2 linked regions of the Caenorhabditis elegans genome follow. The protein of the gene in region 1 interacts with the protein of each later gene in a pairwise test. Each region holds a gene or a part of one and is shown on either strand. Other genes may lie near its edges. The genes, in order: nmad-1 and ztf-17.

Region 1 (4,134 bases):
TACAAAATCTCTGCTCACTGGCTCGGCACCCTTCATGGAAATCCTTATCGGCGAGGAATCGTTGAGTGAGACGATACTCCATTGTGAAGATCTTTGCATAGCTCATCTTGCTTCCTTCGGTGATTTGTCGGTGAGTTACTTTCAGGGAAGTTGGGCTCATTTTTCCTAGAGTGGCTGCTTGCTTCTTTGCCCAGTCGGATCCGTCTTTTTCGAGGCTTGCGAGGATTTCTTCGACGCTTCTGAAAAATCAATTATTTTATATATCTTAGGCAAATGTAATTTTTTGTGTGCTATCGAATCCTCAAAACTGGCCCTTTCCTAGTTTTTGCTTAAAACTAATATTATCTGAGAAACAATAATAAATCAATTCGATGAAATGCTACTTTTTAATTTGTTCCAACTCAAATACACGTGATCTTGGTGACAAAATATCTTACTTTGCTTTGAAGGAATCTCTAATTTGAGCCAAATTCTTGGACAGACTGAATTCTGGAATCTTCTTTGGCTCGAACGATCTGATGACTTCATCGACAGAGTTCTCTGTCACATCCTTAATATTCACAAGTTCCTTTTCCAATTTCGCAAGTTCCGAAGACTCCACAAAATGAGTGGCAAGACCAGCATGGAAAGCGTCAGCACCTAGAAGACGATATCCAGTGAGTGCCAAGTACATTCCGAGGTTTCCCTTGAGCCTTGAAAGGAAATAGGATCCACCGACGTCTGGGAAGAGTCCAAGTGCGGTTTCTGGCATTGCTAGCATTGTTTTCTCAGTGGCAACTCGGAAACGTCCATTTACAGAAAGACCACAACCCTGAAACAAGTTTTTTAAAAAATTGAAAAGAAAATAGTTGCAGATAACTTACTCCTCCCATCACAATTCCATCAATCAGACAAACGTATTGCTTATTCAAAGTTCCAATTAAATGATTTAAAATGTACTCCTCGCGGAAGAAATCCTTGTGCATTGTGCACTCTTTTCCACTCTCCGAATCTTTGAAAGATCGCACAACGGCAAGAACATCTCCTCCAGCACAGAACGCCTTATCACCGGATCCTTTCAAAATGACAAGATCCACATCGGAAGATGAATTCCAGGCTTGAAGTTTGGGATAAAACTCTCGTACCATTTCGAGGTTCAACGCGTTTAGCGCTTTAGGCCTATTCAATGTAACCACCTTCTTCGATCCGTGTGTGTCGACAAGGATTTCCGACTTGGCGGCGGCGCTCACGGAGAACGACATCTTCTGGCAGACTTCCTGGAAATTTCTGAGTTTAGAACAGAAAATTTGATAGAAAAATAAAATGTTAGTCAAAATTTGTGAAAAATGAAACCTTCGAATGAAGTCCGCGGAAGAGTGCGGGCAAGTTTCGGACAGTGGCAGCCATGTCTCTGAAAATTGGCTTAATAAAATGAAGAATAGTTTACGAAAACGAGAAAAGTGGTCTTGTTCCGCGAGGTTATAAAGGGAAAACATCACTGATCACAAAAAGAAGCTTGCACTTTGAGCACAAAACAAGAAAATAGGGAAATTTGAGGAATAGACTAATCAATCAATAATTTAACTTTCATTTTCACGCAAATTCCGTTAAAGAATCGATGAATAACTTGTAAAAATAATTAAAATTGATCAAATTAGGGTTTTCCGCCGAAAGAAAAAACTAAATGGGCGGTGCTTAATGAGTGAAACGCAATGTGCGCGCGCTTTTTGCGCAAGTGCCCCGCGCACAGTTTGGCAGGCAGAGATTTTTTCAGTAGACAATTTTTTTTTATATTTTTAAGATTTTTTGTTGGAAAATTAAAGAAGTTGTATCATTTTTCATGTGGTAATTTTAAAAAATAAATGTTCAATTCATTTTTATTATCCTTTCACTCTGAAAATGTTTAGAAATATTACGAAATTCCAGAAAACAACACTTCTCGACATGGGTTCCGCAGAACAAGCGTGTGGCTGCAAGGGAGCTCGATTTTGTGCACTTTGTGAGACAACGGAACGTGTGAAAAAGCTTCGCGTGGTGGAGGATAAGCATGTTAACTACAAAGTATGCATATTTCATTTTAAATAATCTTTAAAAAAAAACAATTGAACCGAATACAAAATTCCAAATTTCAGGTCTTCATTTACGATCACATTCGTCAAATCGCAATTCCAACGACAAATCTGAACTCTCAGTCTTCATTGGAGGATATCATTGATGGTTTTTATTACATATAATGAGTTTTCAACTAAAAATGAAATTTCTAGAATCCACCTCGTGCCAATCCGTATCTACAGACGGCTCCATCGAAATTGACGGGCTCACTCTCATTCACAATTTTCTGTCAGAATCTGAAGAATCTAAAATTCTCAATATGATAGACACAGTTGAATGGGCACAGTCACAAAGTGGTCGAAGAAAGCAAGTAAGAAAATCATTTAATAAAAAAAACATAATTTTAAAAGTTCAGGACTACGGACCGAAAGTGAATTTCAAGCATAAAAAGGTAAAAACGGACACATTTGTCGGAATGCCAGAGTACGCAGACATGTTGCTCAATAAGATGAGTGAATACGACGTGAAGAAACTCGGAAATTATCAGCCATTCGAAATGTGCAATTTGGAGTATGAGGAAGTGAAGAAAAGTGCCATTGAGATGCATCAGGATGATATGTGGATTTGGGGAAATCGATTGATAAGGTATGAATTCCTTTTTAAAAAAGTACTGTTTAATTAATATTATTTTCGGCAGAAATTCGACAAAAAATTTTTATTTTTGCAAAAAAAACGCGAATATTTTAAAACGAAATTCCCATTGACAGTAATCTACAAAAAAAAAAATTTTTTTTAAGATCTGAAAACTTCAGAGTATTTGATTTTTCTCAAAAACTGTGTTCAAAAAAATGCCTTGCCTCGAGAATAATAAATTTAAATACTGTTTGTCCCCATTTCATTTTTTTTTAATTTCCAAAATTTAAAGAACTTTGAAGAATCCAATCAATTTTTCAGCATCAACCTAATCAATGGATCCGTGATGACTCTATCCAACGATAATAAATCGTTCTTATGCTACGTCCATATGCCTCATCGTTCTCTTCTCTGTATGGCCGATGAATGTAGATATGATTGGAAGCACGGAGTTCTCGCTCACCACATCCGTGGACGAAGAATAGCGTTGACGATGCGAGAGGCGGCCAAAGATTTCGCTGAGGGAGGGGAATTGTATGAGAAATACGGTGCCGAGCTAATTCGCCTGGGCAACATTCGAGTACCACTTTCGAAAACTTCCGTGTGATGATAATTCCTTTTTTCTGTCTGTTTTGTCATTCTTCTCCTTGTTCAACCAACTTTTTAATTGAAGAAGTTTTAATTTTTATTCTTTGTTCGTTTCTCGTTCAGGTGCAAAGTAATTATGGAATGAATCGGCTGAAAACCGAATTGGGAAAACAACATGTGACGTCACAGAGAGCCATGTGATCGAGATAAGATAAGGAGTGAACGGCTCGGAGAGCATTCATTTAATGATTGATTGGGATGGACACCTGTCAGATAGACTACATTACAGTTTTCCTGTAGGCACACGTGTGACCCTGAACCTAAAAAATTTGAAATTAAATTCCAACAAAGAAGAAAGAAAACCGTATAATTTAGATAGCCATCTCGATTATTTACCTGTAGTTTGGAAGACTCGTCACGAGGTTATTGAAAGAAAGAGAGAGAGTTCGCTGACAATTTGTTTACCTTGGAATCAAAAATTGCTTGGTTTGCAATTTTTCAGAACCCACGTGGCTGTTATTTTCTTGCGTTCATTAGGAATATTTTAATCTGTCAATTAATCCGTTTATAAAAAAACCGATTTTTAGCTTTGAATTTTAGTTAAAATAATGAAAAGAGACTTGCGCCTTTAAAGAGTTACGGTAGTTATCAAAAGATTTTCAGAAAGTTACAGTAACCCAATGAAGACGCACGTCTATTTTTTTTTAATTTACTGGTTTAAAACTAACTAAAATAAAACAAAGCTTTCTACTCGGACTGTGTTTTTACTTATTATAAAATCCCCGAAAAATAATTCCGTCTAATAGAGCGCAATTGCATCAGATGTTACAAAAATTAGCCGACGTATAATATTATAATTAATCTAATTGTGTATTAAACTTT
Region 2 (6,378 bases), on another chromosome or scaffold:
ATCTCTATGATGTGCAACAGGTTAGTAGAACGATGTACAATCTTTATTTGCATTACACATATTATTCAGGTGTCGGTTCGTCCATTGTGGCACACCCAGTATGAACGTTTCATTCGCTCCGCATATCCATACTACGCCTCTTCGTTCTCAATGATGGCGGGACTCGTGTTGTTCTCCATCGTCTATCTTTATCATAAAGATACGCCAGTCAAAGGAGCCAAGGTTCTGGATTCCGAAAAGAAGAAAAACTAAATGCTCTTTTTTCGCAAAGTTTGCCTCTTCGCCTACTGGTTTTTTCTCCCTCTCTCCTCAATTCGTTTTCATCGCCCGATTCCAATGATTTCTAACTTATTTATTTTTCTGCTTTTAGGTGATTTATATTCGTTCCCCTTTCTCCTACCAAAGTTTTTTTGTTTTAATGTATTCAAGTTTTATGTCCCAACTGGTTGTATTTCTTTAAAAGTATGTACTTTTGTGATAATAATAATATTTTTCATGTTAGAAGGATTTCATGTTTTATTCATAGGCGTAAACACAAAGAACAGAAGCTAGGGAATACGTTTGATATATTATTTCTTTAAATTTGGGTCTACACTTTAATCAGAAGAGAGGGTGAATGGATGACTCTGGTAATCTTTTGATAACCGAGTATATTTACATTGAAATGAGCATTAAGAAGATGAATATAAAGAAACAATGTAAAGGTAAAAAGAAACGTAGAATACAACCAACTTCCTAGCTTATATGACAAAGTGCAGAGAGGTGGGTACGGTATTTCTCAAAAAAGAAGATAACCAAAATGTATTGATCTACTGAAAATTGAAGATTATTATAAAAGATTGAAAATTGAAGATTACAATAAAAGATTTAATTCATAGTCAAAGCTTTCTTAAAATTAAAAGGGTAACACAACCTAAAAGAGTAAAATAGAAAGAAAAAACACACTACAACTAGAAATAACACACTGAACTAAAATCTAAAACTACACAACAGAAGAAAAACATGAACAAAAGATAAAATGACCAAAAAGGTTTAAATCTCTTTTAAAACAAAAAAAAGGAATCTAGCTAGACTGAAAGAGGAAGAAATCTAGCTATGTATATTCTATTTTACTCTAAGAAATATTGAGATTATTGTGACGATCGTTGAAATTAGTGAGTCCAAGTAGCTCATCGAATACGTCATCATCAAATGGTCCACTGAAATCAGTGGCCAAGTCCATACCGCACAGCGGATCATTAAAGTTATCTGGAAGATTTGCAGCGAGAATCCCATCAATATTAGAAGTAACTCCTGAAGCTTCTTCTCCGCCACACAAAATTTCATCGTCTCCTCCACCGAGTCCAAATAAATCTTCGGTTTTGAATTCTTCAAAGTCATCTTTCAAAATACTTTGAGTCGCGAGAGCATCTTCATCGTCCATTTCAATTTTGACTTTCTAAAAGCAGATTCGATTGAAAAAAGTCAAATAAATACATTTTCTATTAATCAGTTGCAAAAAATGCGAATTTTGACGAAAAACTACAGGACCCTGTCAAGAAAATTTTCGAAGCAAAATTTTAGAGAGTACTGTAGCTGAGATTTCCGGTTTTTCATGCAATTTTTTGAATTTCAGGGTTTAGGAGCAAAGTCGATGGAAATTCTTTAAAAAAAATTACGAAAGAACCAAAGATTGGGCTACTGTACATCTTAAAGGCGCACACCTTTTTGCGCAGCTTTCATTTAAAAAAATCAAGGGGATACTGTATTTTCTGGTAAAAATTGCAATAATTTGCAACGGGATTTTCCGATCACGGTTTATAATGTTTTTTTTTTCAAAAACTAACACTTTCGTCATACTCCTCAATACTCGAATTCATTTCGAGATTTTGAAGTTGTCCTCCATTGAAACGAATCGGCACAGCCTTCTTCATCGTAATTGATTCTAGCTCCTTCTGGAAAAACGTGAAATATTAAAAATTAAGAATATATTACAATAAAAGAAATACCTTTATAGTCATACCGGAATATGGAAGTCTGCGGTTTCCATTTATAGAAGGTTTCATTGTCATTGACACTAAACTTATTTTGAAATTAACAAGAGAAAACTAATTGTACTTACAATATGGGTTAGTGATTGGAATTGGTCCTGAATTGTTACGATAGCCAGTTCCATTAAAAGCAGCCATATCTCGATGATATTGTTCGAACCAAATTGGCATTTGTTCAATTAGTCCGTTTTCAGTGACGAGACGGAATCGTCCAGAAGATCCAAGATAGCCTATAAACTCAAAGATAACGGGAAAATTAACTGAACAGTACTTACTGCGAATAGTTTCAACATTTCCTAAAACATCGACACCTTCATTAACTGCGTCGACGATGGCTCCAATTGAAGCCAGCTAAAATTTCAACTTTACAATGAGATGAATTTCTGAAAAAATGAAACCTCATTCGATTCTAGAACCATTCTTGTGTGATCAATTTCATGTCCACTGTGATGAAGGCATCCTTCAATTTGTAGTTCGGAGACCGTCGGATTCTGCTTGATTTTCAAATAAGCCATACAATTTCTACCACACTTTATTGACGGTCTGGGTGGTCTCACGTATTTCTTGTTAGGTCTCTCCTTCTGATCACCACTTCTAGAACATGTCAGATAGTGAACTTGAAGTCCTCGTCCCCACTTTTTGGATCCTGATGAGACGACAAACTCGACTGCATGAGTCTCACGAAGAGAATCGAGCCACGATTGGAGCATTTCACGATTGGCAAATGTTCGTTTAACAAGAGGAGCTTCAATTCCGTGCGAGTCATACATATGACGAAGTAGGAGAGGGCGGGAATATGCGAATGTGTCACATTCACTACATTTCACCTGAAAAATTTATTTAAAGAGTGAGTAGCTAGAATGATGATTTTGATTCAAAACTTCCTAAATGGTCTGAAATTCAGAAATATTGAAAAAATGTACAGAGAAAGAATAAAAATGAATTTTCTTAAAAACGTGGAATTTGAATATCCTCCAAAACTTTCATTCAAATTCAGACTTTCTTAATTTTTCTCTGAATTTCAGAAGTACTTTTTGGTATTTTAGAAATAAAAAAAACCGAACTCACTCCTTTGGGTTTTGGCTGAACCAGCTGAACTTTCATTGCCTCACCAGTTTTGTCGTATATAACTGGCTGCTTTGGACCATGAACTAACATGTGTTTTTTCATTGACATTTCATTAGTACCACGCCAGAAGCAGTCTTGTTGGGGACACCTGAAAATTCACTTTATAATTTATATCAGATAACCTTAACTTACGCAAATCTTGACGTTTGCAACCGATTTCTCTGAAGCAAGTTATAGCTGGGCGATTTTGATGTCATGCATGGTTGAACCAACGGTCCGGACGATTTTAAATAAGGATCAGGTGACTCTGATTTTGGTGATTTATCAGCGTTGAAACCATCTCCAGTCAATTCGTCAGCTCCTAGATCGGCAATTTCATCGTCTAATTCTTCTTCAAAAACTACTTCTCCACCCATTGACATACATGCCGGAACAGTTGTAAAATGTTGTTTCGGTGGCTCTTGTGCTGGGACATACATGTTCGATGCGGGACGATTTCTATAAAATTTTGGAGTTTTAAAAAAATGTTAATTGCAATAAACTAACTCATCGAACTTATTGCCGTATTCTGCTTTTGGCAGACGATACACATATTTTGGAGCGCTGCCACTTGTATCAAGAGTCACACTTCCTGCTGACATTGAAGTTGCATGGTATCTGAAAATTGAATTGTGATGTTCAAATTTATATCGTCGCCGTTTTCTACTTACGATGGGGCTCGTATAGAAGAATTTATTGTAGTCAGTCTTCCAGTCATTTGATTACCTTTCATTCCAGGATTGTTACGACGAATGTAAATCTGTAAAGTTTTTAAACAGAATATCAGACACGTGTGCCGATTCTGCTCACTATTTTTCCACTCTCGTAATTCTCTTTCATCTTTTTCATATAATCTGGTGGTGGAAACGTCACTCCTGAACTACTTGTCATCGATTTCTGAACGCCATTGCCATCGGCAACGAACAGACGACGACGGGGTGCCAACCGACATGCTGGTATACTCTGGAAGACAATGTTTTACTAATATCCAGATTTTTGTTAATATTCACTTTGTAATTTGTCGGCGGTCGTTTGATTATTTTGCTTTGCTGCGACCGGAGTCCGTTGGACGAAGCGATTGTTGATGGTCCCTGAAAAATTTAATAAACTCATTTATTAAAATCATTTTTTTAAGACATAGAACATCTAATTTTCTAATGACTGTAAATTTGTATGTCAAACATATTTGAAATACCTGTACTGGTAAATGATAGTCATTTCCGTACGAATCGCCGTACACGGACGCCTGGTAGCGCAGCATGTGAATTACCTGAAATATGTAAATGTTTGAATCTACGATTGAACAATCAAAATGTTTCAACATTCGAATATAATGCAATGAAATTGTAGAAAATAGTGATCAGAGAACGAAAAATGTGTCAGAAACATTGGAAATAACGAAAGAAATGAAACATTTTGATAAGAGCTTATTGAAAAAAGAAGAGAAAACAGTCAATAGGGAACAGGAGGAATTTTTTGAGATTTTTTTCTGAATGATTATGTTTGCGTCGAATAGAAAAATGCTGAAAACTCAAATAAGATTAATTAAAGCTTGAACCATTTTCCGCGAATTTTTGATAATAATTGAAAACAACAAACGTTTAATGATCTTCGGTTTCTCACAGAAACATTTGTTTTTGAACAAAAAATGTGTTATTTCTATGAAGTGTTGCTGAATAATTCAAAGTTCGAACAAAACATGTTCTTTGAACTTTCTCGCTGCAGTATATTTTTTTTGGCCTAGATAAATATATTCTTTAGGAATAAAATTGTATTTATGCGATTGTTTTATAAAACTTAAAAACAGCATGAAAGTAATCAGTTGGCTCGAATGGCACACCACGAGTCGATGCCCGGCGAGCTCTGCAACAGTTGCCGAGTCCGCCGAAGAAAAAAAACGAATTGTCGTGAAGTGTGGCGCGGCGTGTACGTGATGCACACTTTAAATTCCACCGTAGTACTCCGCAAAGCCAGGCGCTCACGCTCCTGTTAACAAACATGTTTATTCAGTGAAAATCAGAGGACTTTTGTTCGAGAAAATTTATGTGAAAAAGCACAACAAAACAGCAGGAAAATATGGTACAGAAAGTGATACTACACGGGAAGGAACAAAAAATAAATTTGATAAAAATGGGAGAGCGATATGAATATTAAATTAAGATTTTATTATTGAAATAATGCAGTTTCGTTGACCTGAAAAACAATTTTGGTCAAATTTGGCAAACTATTGAGCAAATAATTAACAAGCTTTAAAAGCATGACCAATTATGAGTGTTTAAAGAAACAATTGTTTTATTTTTTTGATTCAACTCTTCGAATTTCGTAAAGTCCACACTCGTCTTGATTAAAATCGATCAGAGCTAGAGATTGCATTTTTGTAGAAGCTGCAAGCGGATCCCAAGACGAAGCAGCCCACGACGCTGATTTACCTGGAATATAGGAAATCGTGAAAATCATTAAAAAAAGTTCAAATTACCTCTTCCAAAAACTGCAAACTCGATGGCGACAGCAGAAAGAACGAAAAATAAGAACATTGTGACTTTCATCCATTCTGCCAGTTTGCTAAAAAATAAAAATGTAAAAGTGAATACTGAGCAACTTTTCGTCTCTTTACAAACTGAAATACTTACTTTTCAGTCACAGAATATGTAACAACCATTGGAAGAATCGAGAACGCCAGTCCAAATGGAACAGCACACATTGCCACAATTTGCTCGGCAAAAACTCTTCCAACGACGGTTAAACTTCTTACAAATCCAGCGACAATGGCCAAGCCAAATGGTAGCATTGAAATAAGAAGAAGCGAAAAAAGTCTGGAATTATTTTAAAGTATAAATAGAAATGAAAAATAGACGGAATTTACCCGGCTTTGGTTTGTAGTGAAGCGACGAGAACTATAGCGATCATCAAAATTGCGCCAATGGCAAATGCCGTGAAATTTAAAATTCTGACGATCTTTGTTGAAGGTTTGAAGAGGACGTTGAGAGAAGAAAAGATGATACATGATAACGGCTGTAAAATTATGAATGTTGAAGAAACATAAAAATTGTAAACCGTACCAAAAGCTGAAAAGGGAAACTACTGTGAATCCCAAGTCCTTCAACAACAAAAACATCGGGTGACGCCAGAAGAGATGGAAGATAAATTGAAAAGAAAGCAGTAACTGAGAAGAGACCAAATGCAGAAGTCCAGATGCTCCAAGCAGACAATGATCGGAAAAGTGAAGTATACGCATCTGCAA

What was found.
Region 2: the proteins of nmad-1 (region 1) and ztf-17 interact in a two-hybrid assay, tested with the Caenorhabditis elegans proteins (one large-scale study listed by BioGRID).

What each region holds. Positions count from the first base shown.
Region 1 is NC_003281.10:5,552,706-5,556,839, reverse strand, and holds nmad-1 (DNA N6-methyl adenine demethylase), read left to right. Parts: upstream 1-1,905; 5' UTR 1,906-1,923; coding exon 1,924-2,040; intron 2,041-2,111; coding exon 2,112-2,196; intron 2,197-2,243; coding exon 2,244-2,401; intron 2,402-2,446; coding exon 2,447-2,676; coding exon of another isoform or gene 2,677-2,713; intron 2,714-2,985; coding exon 2,986-3,271; 3' UTR 3,272-3,351; downstream 3,352-4,134. Other genes in the region: hach-1 (3-hydroxyisobutyryl-CoA hydrolase, mitochondrial), read right to left, coding at 19-239, 438-811, 864-1,256, 1,333-1,386. UniProt on the Caenorhabditis elegans protein: Dioxygenase that specifically demethylates DNA methylated on the 6th position of adenine (N(6)-methyladenosine) DNA. N(6)-methyladenosine (m6A) DNA is involved in epigenetic transgenerational inheritance.
Region 2 is NC_003280.10:7,865,756-7,872,133, forward strand, and holds ztf-17 (Zinc finger transcription factor family protein 17), read right to left. Parts: upstream 4,408-6,378; 5' UTR 4,399-4,407; coding exon 4,333-4,398; intron 4,229-4,332; coding exon 4,148-4,228; intron 4,101-4,147; coding exon 3,948-4,100; intron 3,898-3,947; coding exon 3,809-3,897; intron 3,756-3,808; coding exon 3,645-3,755; intron 3,597-3,644; coding exon 3,291-3,596; intron 3,247-3,290; coding exon 3,099-3,246; intron 2,858-3,098; coding exon 2,429-2,857; intron 2,382-2,428; coding exon 2,306-2,381; intron 2,261-2,305; coding exon 2,102-2,260; intron 2,057-2,101; coding exon 1,989-2,056; intron 1,935-1,988; coding exon 1,827-1,934; intron 1,439-1,826; coding exon 1,115-1,438; 3' UTR 501-1,114; downstream 1-500. Other genes in the region: ostb-1 (Dolichyl-diphosphooligosaccharide--protein glycosyltransferase 48 kDa subunit), read left to right, coding at 1-20, 70-252; T01H3.3 (MFS domain-containing protein), read right to left, coding at 5,430-5,566, 5,614-5,699, 5,768-5,950, 6,001-6,149, 6,197-6,378.